2 linked regions of the Caenorhabditis elegans genome follow. The protein of the gene in region 2 purifies or fractionates together with the protein of the main gene of each other region. This does not show direct contact. Each region holds a gene or a part of one and is shown on either strand. Other genes may lie near its edges. The genes, in order: mrps-28 and flp-18.

Region 1 (4,151 bases), on a different chromosome or scaffold from region 2:
AATAGCTCCATGAAAACTAGCTGAAAAACTCGAAAATCGAAATTAGCCGAAAAATTAGCCGCCTTTAGTCACTCACCAACTCAAACTCTTTTTCGATTTCATCTTGGGATCGTGGTGTAATTGCAGTCGGTGGTTTCTCCTGTGCAGCTGTACAAAGAACAACGAGAAGGAAGACGAAAATGTGCACCAGGATCATTGTTGAAGTTTAGAAAACTCGAACTGATTGAAACTGGAGAGTTGGATGATATTTATATAATATTCCACGATATGGGCCACGTTTTGGAATTTTAATATATTTGAGAATTTGAAATTGAAACTATTTTTGAAAATTTCACGTCGGAAAATAATTTTTTCTATTTTTCTGTAAATCAATTAATTTCTATGTTCAATGAACAAAAATGTAGAAATCGAACGTAAAAATTTGAAGTTCGCGCTTGAAAAAGCGCGCTCTACAGAAAATCATACAAGTTTTAACTGCAAACGCGCCCCAATGATTACTTTTTGGGATATTCGAATTTCCTTTCACCTGAAATTTGCGAAAAGTCAGTTCTAGGCGGGAAATTCAAATTTTCAGTCAATTTTTGGCGGGAAATTCAAAAATTCAAATTTCCAGTCATTTTTTGGCGGGAAATTCAATATTATCCATATTTTATTGAAAAAACAACAAAAAACAGGCAACAATTAATGGGGGATTTCTAGGCTAAAATTGATAAAAAAAAGTACACGTGGAAAGTGAAAATGTGAAATTTTCTAGAAAAATTAGTGTGCCGCCGGTGTTTCTGGAGCCGCTGGAGCTTCTTCTTCCGTGGCGCCACGTGGCTTCTGCCGTTGCTGCTGCTGACGTGGCACATTTGATAGAAGACGTACGAGCACTGCGTCAGCCTCAAGAAGTGTCAAATCGTGTTTGGAGCCCAAAAATCGTTCGCTGAGCTCCGGGTCGATGAGACGAATGAGCACACGGGCTCCGCTGCGGTAGGCTCTGGAAGAAATAGATTTTTTTGGAGAAATTTGAGGAAATTTGAGGATATTTTTGTGGGAAATCGGGGTTTTTTGGGTGAAAATCGGGGTGTTTTGGGTGAAAATCGGGGTGTTTTGGGTGAAAATCGGGGTTTTTTGGGTGAAAATCGGGGTTTTTTGGATGAAAATCGGAGTTTTTTGGATGAAAATAGGAGTTTTTTGGGTAAAATTTGACGGTTTTTGGGTAAAAATCGGGGTTTTTTGGGTAAAAATGGTTTTTTGAAAGAAAAATCGATATTTTCATAAAAATTTAGTTAATTTAGCGAAAAATCGCCTGTTTTCCATGGAAATCAAGGGTTTTCCCATAAATTATCAATCATTTTTCAAGAAAATTTGGTTTTTCGCTGAGAAAATCGGGATTTTCCTTGAAAATTTGGATTTATTTTGATTTTTCCTGGAAAACGTGGATTTTTCGCGAAAATTAGGAGTTTCTGGCAAAAAAACGGGGCTTTTCTCGTGAAATTTACGGTTTTTGGTGAATTTTGGAGAAAAATGGGTTTTTTTCCCGTTATTTCCGGAGAAAATCGCTTATTCTCCGTAAAATTCAGGTTTCTTTTGATTTTTTTCCGGAAAAATAGACTTTTTCACCGAAATTCGAGCGTTTTCCGGGGAAATTAGCGTTTTTTGAGCTAAATTTGACGTTTTTCACTCTAAATTCCAATTTTTCTTGGCAAAAATCGCAATTTCTCGGCAATTTCCATCACGTACTCCGAATTCAGCGCCGGAACTTTGCAAACAGCGTTGAATTTCAGTCCAAAATCAATGTAGACGTCTTCTTGAACGCGTTGAGCGATTTTTCCGACGACGAGGCGCCCGTTAAAGTCGCCGAGTTGCATGAATTTCGAGTTTCGCAGCAGAGAGGCGAACGATTGGTTCTGAAAATCGAAAAATTCGCGGTTTTTAACCCCAAAAATCGTGTAAAAACCTGCGCTTCCGAGGTTTCAGTGACAGTGTCGACGAAATCAATGATACTCTCGTTTCCCTGGCTTGTGGAGAGAGCTCGGAGCTCTCGGAGCCCGCAAATCACCTGTCGAGACTTGAGCAAGCTTCGGAGCATCTGAAAAATACAGTAAATCAATTTTTTCGGTGAAATTTGCAGTTTATTAAGGGAAAATCCCTCATAAACGAGTAACTGTCGTATAATTAAATGCCTGGTCCGCAACGGTGTTTGCGTACTTGTCGACCGTACCCCTCTCATCGCATTTTCCATTATTTGAAAAAAATCGATAATTTAACTCAAATTTTCTCAATTTTCGCAATTTCAGAATGATTTTCAAGCCGATTTCGCTCATAATTGCGTTAATTTTGCCAATTTTCACACTTGCCGAGTGGAAAATCACGCTGGAATATAGTTTGAACGGTTTGTAGTTGGAAATTTGATTTTTTCGGATTTTTAACTAAATTTTCTCTCGTTTTTCAGAATTCACAAATAGCTATCCACTTGGAAGCATTGAAATGAGCCGCGCATTCGACGGAAACTACACGGGAACCTTCAAACCGGCTCAGGAGCAAAATTTCGGGCAAAAGTATGGGGATTTTCCGGTTTTCTTCGCTTTTTTAGCCGATTTTTTGTGTGAAAAATGCGAAAAATAGCATAATTTCAGGCTTTTCGAAGCTCAAAATGGCGTTTATTCGGTTCGAGCACGGTCGAGCACACAACCCGGACAGAATTTCCTGACGACTAGCGATCCGGTCGGTTTTTCGACTTTTTCGGCGAAAAAATCGAGAATTTCGGTGGAATTGGAGTGAAAATGCAATTTAAAACTGAAAAATTGAGTAAAATTGGTGTAAATTTCGTGAAAAACTATGGTTTTTCGATTTTCCCGTGGAATTTTGACTGGAAAACAAAAAAAAAATCGCAATTTTTCCCGAAAAATTCGAATTTTCAGTCATTTTTCCGCGGGAAAATTAAAATTTTCACAGTTTTCCAATGCTAAATCAACGAAAAAACCGGATTTTTCCGATTAGAAAACCCTTAAAATCCGCAAAAATTCGACCCCTCGGCCACCGCAGCCATGTCTACGCCCTCCCTCACCTCGTACAAGTTGCTACCCGTGGCTTAGTGGCTAACGCGCTCGCCTGCCGCCCACAGCTTCCGGGTTCGATTCCCACCCACGGCAACAAATTCCAATTGTGTGTAACATTCAATGCAATTGAGCCGACGCCGTGGGAAATCACTTTCGTGGAACCATTTGATCCCACGCTCGTTACTGTTAATGATTGTGGTTTGCACGTGGTTTACAATTTTTCGCACTTTTTTTAAAGGTTTTTACGGGATTTTTGTTTGAATTTTTAACCAGAAAAATTCAAAAATTGGCTAAAAAACTTCTGACAAAATGACAAAATGAACACATTTTTAGTCAATTTTCGGCGGGAAATTTAAAAATTCAAATTTTCAGTCAATTTTCCACCGAAAAATTCAATTTTTTCACGGAAAATGCCAAATTTTCACTCAAAATTGTGGAAAACATGATATTTTTCGTGAAAAAATCATATTATTCCAGAATTTTTGGCGTAAAAATGCAAAAAATCAAAAAAAAAAATTTGCAAAAAAAATTTTTTGTTTAAAATTTCAAACTTTTAAACGAAAATTGTGACTTATGTGTGCAATTTGGCAGTTCCCCCGAATTGCCGAATCGCACCCATTTGTCACCGGAGATGCGGAAGCTATGCCCAAATTTTCCATTTTTTAGCATTTTCCTCATGTTGTCGTCTTGTGTAAAAATTGTTGAAAAACAATGTTTTTGTTAAAAAAATGGAGCCTTTTCTATTAAAAATTTCAAAAAAAAATTTTTTTTTTGGACTAAAAAAAATTCTCAAAAATTTTTTTTTTTTTTGATATTTCGAAAAATTTCATCCAACGTTTTTCCAACCAATCCAAAAAATTGTGACTCATGTGTGCAATTGGTAGATTGGTGGCTCAAAATCTAGAAATCCGTAGGTTTTGTTCCCCCGAATTGCCGAATCGCACACATTTGTCACCGGAGATGCGGAAGCTATGCCCAAATTTTCATTTTTTGGCATTTTCCTCATTTTTTCTGAGTAAAAATTGGTAAAAGACAATGTTTTTGTTAAAAATGGAGCTTTTTCTATTTTTTTTTGGACTAAAAAAAATTTTTTTTTTTGGACAAAAA
Region 2 (4,583 bases):
GGCGCTACGCACATTGGCCTAATCTTCAGTCTTCAACACCGCCGCACGGGCCCGACGGCCAATTAAATGGATGCGTCAAATGTTGTGATTCAAGGTTTTTTCCTTTAATCACCCCTAATAAGTTAATTGATTAAGAATTTTTTGTTAGTCCTATCAGTACCTCATGGGTTGGATACCACTCCGAAACATACGGTACTTAAAATTATTGTTAATGAACGTAGTGAAAAGTGAAGCCATAATTAAGTAGAAAACTTGTTGACTTTGTTGACTTGCTTACAATTAATTTTAATATTGATGCTCTCTCTGAAATGAAAGAAAAATTGTACAGTACTAGATTCATCAGTGTATTGGGAAAAGCAGTTTGAAAAAATCTTCATGATCCCAGATTCAATTAATCAAATCTGAAACTTGAAAGAGAATTAAGGACGGAAATTACCTGTGCACATGAAGTTGGTTATTTGATAATTCAAAAAACTTTTCTGCGTTTCAAATTTTTTGGAATCATTTTGATACACATGCTTCAAATTTTCAGCAGCTTCATGAATAGACTCATTTCACACTGGGTTCTGTTTAGACTTATCTAATCTGATAACTGACATAACACAAAGCATACTTTTTCATCGTTTGAAAGCTCAATGAATCAATTCCTAAAATGCACAGAGTTGGAGGTAATTATTCTTTTCAACACACGTCAACCATGAACAAATCTGCTTTTCAACATTGTTCAGAAAACAATTGATAGACACACAACTACATTACTCAAAAATTAGACGAACTGTGTTTGACGTAACAGGAAATGATTCATTTAATCGTATGGAGCTCTAGAATTGACAACGTTTAGTATCATTGTTGAAAAGAGACAAAAACTTAATATTAAGTGATTGAAATGAGACGCTCGGAAGAAAAGAAGAAAAACAACGAGATCATCGAATTGTCGCTGGCACATTTTACATTCACATTCATCTGAAACTTGATACATGTCAGACTGGCAAAATCTTATTTAGAAACTTACAATTTACTTCCGTCCGAATCGGAGAACACCTGGCACACTTTTCTTGAGCAAAACCCCTGCGTAATGCTCTTCCAAGTCGGATCGCTTTCCAAATCTGAAAACAAAAACCTTGGTAAGCTGGATGAAGTCTTAAAATGATCGGACCTCAATACACCGGGAACATCGCGTTTTCCGAAACGGAGAACTCCGGGCACTTCACTGCGCTTGTCGAACGAATCAGCCATGTAATCTCTCTTTCCGAATCTCAACACTCCTGGGATCTCCCGTTTGTCCATTGGCACATCACGTTTTCCGAAACGAAGAACGCCTAAAAACTGAGATGTTATTTGATTTAGAATAGATGATGATGCCACCTGGAACACTTTTCTTCTCATCGAAATATGAGCGTTTCCCGAAGCGAAGAACTCCTGAAAGTCAATTTTCAGTATGCAATAAACCAACAAGGAACTACTTACCTGGAACACTTTTCTTCTCGTCAAAATATGCACGTTTACCGAAACGGAGCACTCCCGGCATTTCTTTTTTCTGCACACTGCTTTCTCTTTTTTCCCAAACACCTCCACGTTTTCCAAAGCGCAACACACCTGGCATCGCCCCATCAAAGTCTGAAATTAGACAAAAAATTGATGGTTAGTTGTACGAAGAATTTTGTACCTCTTTTTGAGAATACCCGACCGTCTTGTTTCTCGTTGGTCCGAGTCACTTCGATATCCTCTGCTGGTATGTCTTCTTCGACGATTTCATAGACTGAAAATATAAGTTGTTTCAATGTGCCGTCTTGTATTTAGGGCTGCCATATCGGACGTCCGGCGTCCGACAATTTCCGAGTTGAGCCACTCATTATAAAATTATATGATTATGTATAGTGAGTGGTCAAACTCGGAAGTTATCGGACGCCGTGAAAAACTACCCCTTGGAAAAAAAAGTTTGCGCCCCTATCGGACGCTAAGCGTCCAAATTCCTCCTAATTGCAGTTATGTATGTGTTTCGATCGACCTTACGAGAATTTTCAAAAATTTCAAATTCATGCTTTCAAATCGACACAATTCAATTGTGCACCCCTGTTGAAAAAAGAAACGAAAAAAAACACGTTTCTTGTTGATTGAAATCGTCGAAATACATCACTTTGGCAGAACGACAGCGTCATTTTACTTGGCTTCCCGCGTTGGTCTAGATGGGTACAGAGCACCATCGAACGAAACATGTCCCAACGGGCCCCGACAAGAAAGAATAAAAAACTCAGCATCCAACTCAACACTATCTTTCCACAATATCCATAGGCGCCCCCTTTTTTTCCCGCTACATCTTGTTTTCATCCAAGCGTTTTTCCTTCCAAAAATACATTGGGCCACTCTAGATTATAGAAAGTTTGAAGGTCAGTGGAAACACTTTTCAATAAGACAATAACACCAAGTCTAGAGATTCACGGACCGTGGGAAGCAGCGAAGATTATTCATAGGTCTCACTGGAAAATGAATATCACAGAAGCTTATAAAAACTAATGAAGTTTCAATACGGATGCGATGTTTGAACACCGCGCAAAATTATTTCAGCTAACTACGTCAGGTCCAGAATTTTGAAAAAAAACTAATGTACGCGAAACCAACGTTTCGACAAACTACAAAGTTAAAAATTTTAAAATAAAATTCAAGATTACATTAAGACAAATTATTGCCGTCATTTTATTCAATCTTCCACGCTGATCTGGGGCTATCCAAACTCCCTTCAAACCCAATTAAGAGATTGGATCAGCCAAGACTTTTCTTTGTTTCGTTCATCAAGAACTTACTTGGTTCGGTATATGCGAGCGCCCCACGAAGCAAACAACACAGCGAAATGAGAAGAACGCCCGACCACCGTTGCATGTCTAACCCTGAAATTATTATTTTTAGTTGTTAAAGCAATCGTTATTGTAGTTAAATAATAAACGTCTTGATGCCAATAATATGAAATATGAGAGTATTAAGCTTCTAGCCTCTTTCCTCAAGAACGACATCCCATCAAATGACACTCGCTAAAAAGTAAACGAACATTTTTAGGAAGATACGAAGAAGGAAGAAGTCACACCAGATCCTGGATTCCCCGCCTTTTCTCGTTACCGTAGAAGGTGAAGCAATGAAAAGTGACACGCTGACATCTTGACGTGGCTCATGGGTCGAGGGGAAGAAGCTGAGGAACTCGGGGTGTGTGGTTTTGCGGAAACGCGTGTACAAGGTATTCGAAACACCCCCCCCCCTTATTTGAAAATAGTGTCATCGGTGAGTGGCACATTTATCTAATGAGATTTCACTCATGTCACTTCCTAGGCGGGAAATTCAAAAGTTCGAAAACAAATCGAAATTTTGAATTACTAAATGTGAGAGAATGATGGCGTATTTTTTTGTTTAATATTTGATCTAAGAAGAAGTAACTTGAATAGACATAACTTTCGATCTTTGGAAGGAATTTTAAGGCTTGGGAGGAAGATTTTTCATTCAAAAAAAAACATAATTGATCAGCCCGTTCAGACACAAAAAAGACTATTTTGAAAATTGAGAAACACGGTAAGCTGAAAATTTAAAAACTTCTTTGGTTTCAGTCCTATTTATATGAGGGGTGGGATCTATTCGAACGGACCATTGAGTTGAGGCTCCGCCCCTCCTAAGAAACAACGACGTCATTTCTTTTTTCATGGTGGAAAAAAGCACTGATGTAGAGAATAGTTGAAGAAAGTTAGAGTTGTAGAGAAATAAGAAAAAAAGACACAATACAATTGAATAAATCGGGTGGGACCAGTAAGAACTTCAATTGTGCGGAGTTTATCTGCACAGGTTGTGGCGCAGCTAACGAAAAGAAGATTATCTTTTTTTTCCTAAATTCTCAGCGCACGTAACACACACGTCGTGTCATCGTCGAATCTCATTTCGGGGGTAGATTTCAAATAGATTGGCTGGTTTCCACTCAATTTAAAGAGGGTCAAGCCCACGCGTTGATTGAGGGAAGACTACAACATCTACTTGAGCTGAGTCAAATAACACGAACCCGCCAAAACACAACTACAACACACGCTACCTTTGAAGATGATCTATGAATATTCATAGAGTAAGCTTGGAAAAAAATCAGTGCAAAAATCTATTCCGCCCAGGTCATTATATTGTAATTCAATTGATCTACTAACACTTATTGGCAAAATTAGCTTTGGGCTTGTATCTGATCATTTTACAAAATAGAACATTCGGCTCATAAAAAGTAAGATTAAAGAAAGTTAGAAAATAAAGGTTCCGTCTCAGAAGTGAACTTGAACTGAGAAGTAGTAATAGTGTATATTAAACTGCAAAAGGTGGCATTGAAAATCATAACAATAGGTTCAAGCTTTATTTTCATGTTTTCGTGACCCTATTCCGGCTAAGCTGGGATATTTATAGAGACTGGTTAATATTCAGTAAAAAGTTGTAAGTTTTACTTTTTCATGACCATGTGGGCTTTCAATTAGCCATGTCTTAATTAACTTCATAAGAACGACGGAGTTTCATGCATCTTTCTAAACATACGAAATGTGAGATTAATTTATTCGCAGTGTGACAAACTTTAA

Evidence for each region.
Region 1: the proteins of flp-18 (region 2) and mrps-28 fractionate together in Caenorhabditis elegans (co-fractionation; one large-scale study listed by BioGRID). This does not show direct contact.

Annotation. Positions count from the first base shown.
Region 1 is NC_003283.11:19,642,162-19,646,312, reverse strand, and holds mrps-28 (Mitochondrial Ribosomal Protein, Small), read right to left. Parts: upstream 2,075-4,151; coding exon 1,943-2,074; intron 1,893-1,942; coding exon 1,726-1,892; intron 980-1,725; coding exon 760-979; 3' UTR 637-759; downstream 1-636. Other genes in the region: Y43F8C.9 (MS Related Protein), read right to left, coding at 77-196; Y43F8C.7 (ER membrane protein complex subunit 10), read left to right, coding at 2,284-2,377, 2,438-2,543, 2,622-2,709.
Region 2 is NC_003284.9:3,011,402-3,015,984, forward strand, and holds flp-18 (SVPGVLRF-amide 3), read right to left. Parts: upstream 2,886-4,583; 5' UTR 2,878-2,885; coding exon 2,802-2,877; intron 1,760-2,801; coding exon 1,667-1,759; intron 1,618-1,666; coding exon 1,468-1,617; intron 1,420-1,467; coding exon 1,366-1,419; intron 1,320-1,365; coding exon 1,157-1,319; intron 1,107-1,156; coding exon 1,016-1,106; 3' UTR 1,013-1,015; intron 964-1,012; 3' UTR 789-963; downstream 1-788. UniProt on the Caenorhabditis elegans protein: FMRFamide-like neuropeptides. Ligand to G-protein coupled receptor npr-1. Involved in modulating locomotion quiescence during the sleep-like state called lethargus which occurs during molting between larval and adult stages, acting via npr-1.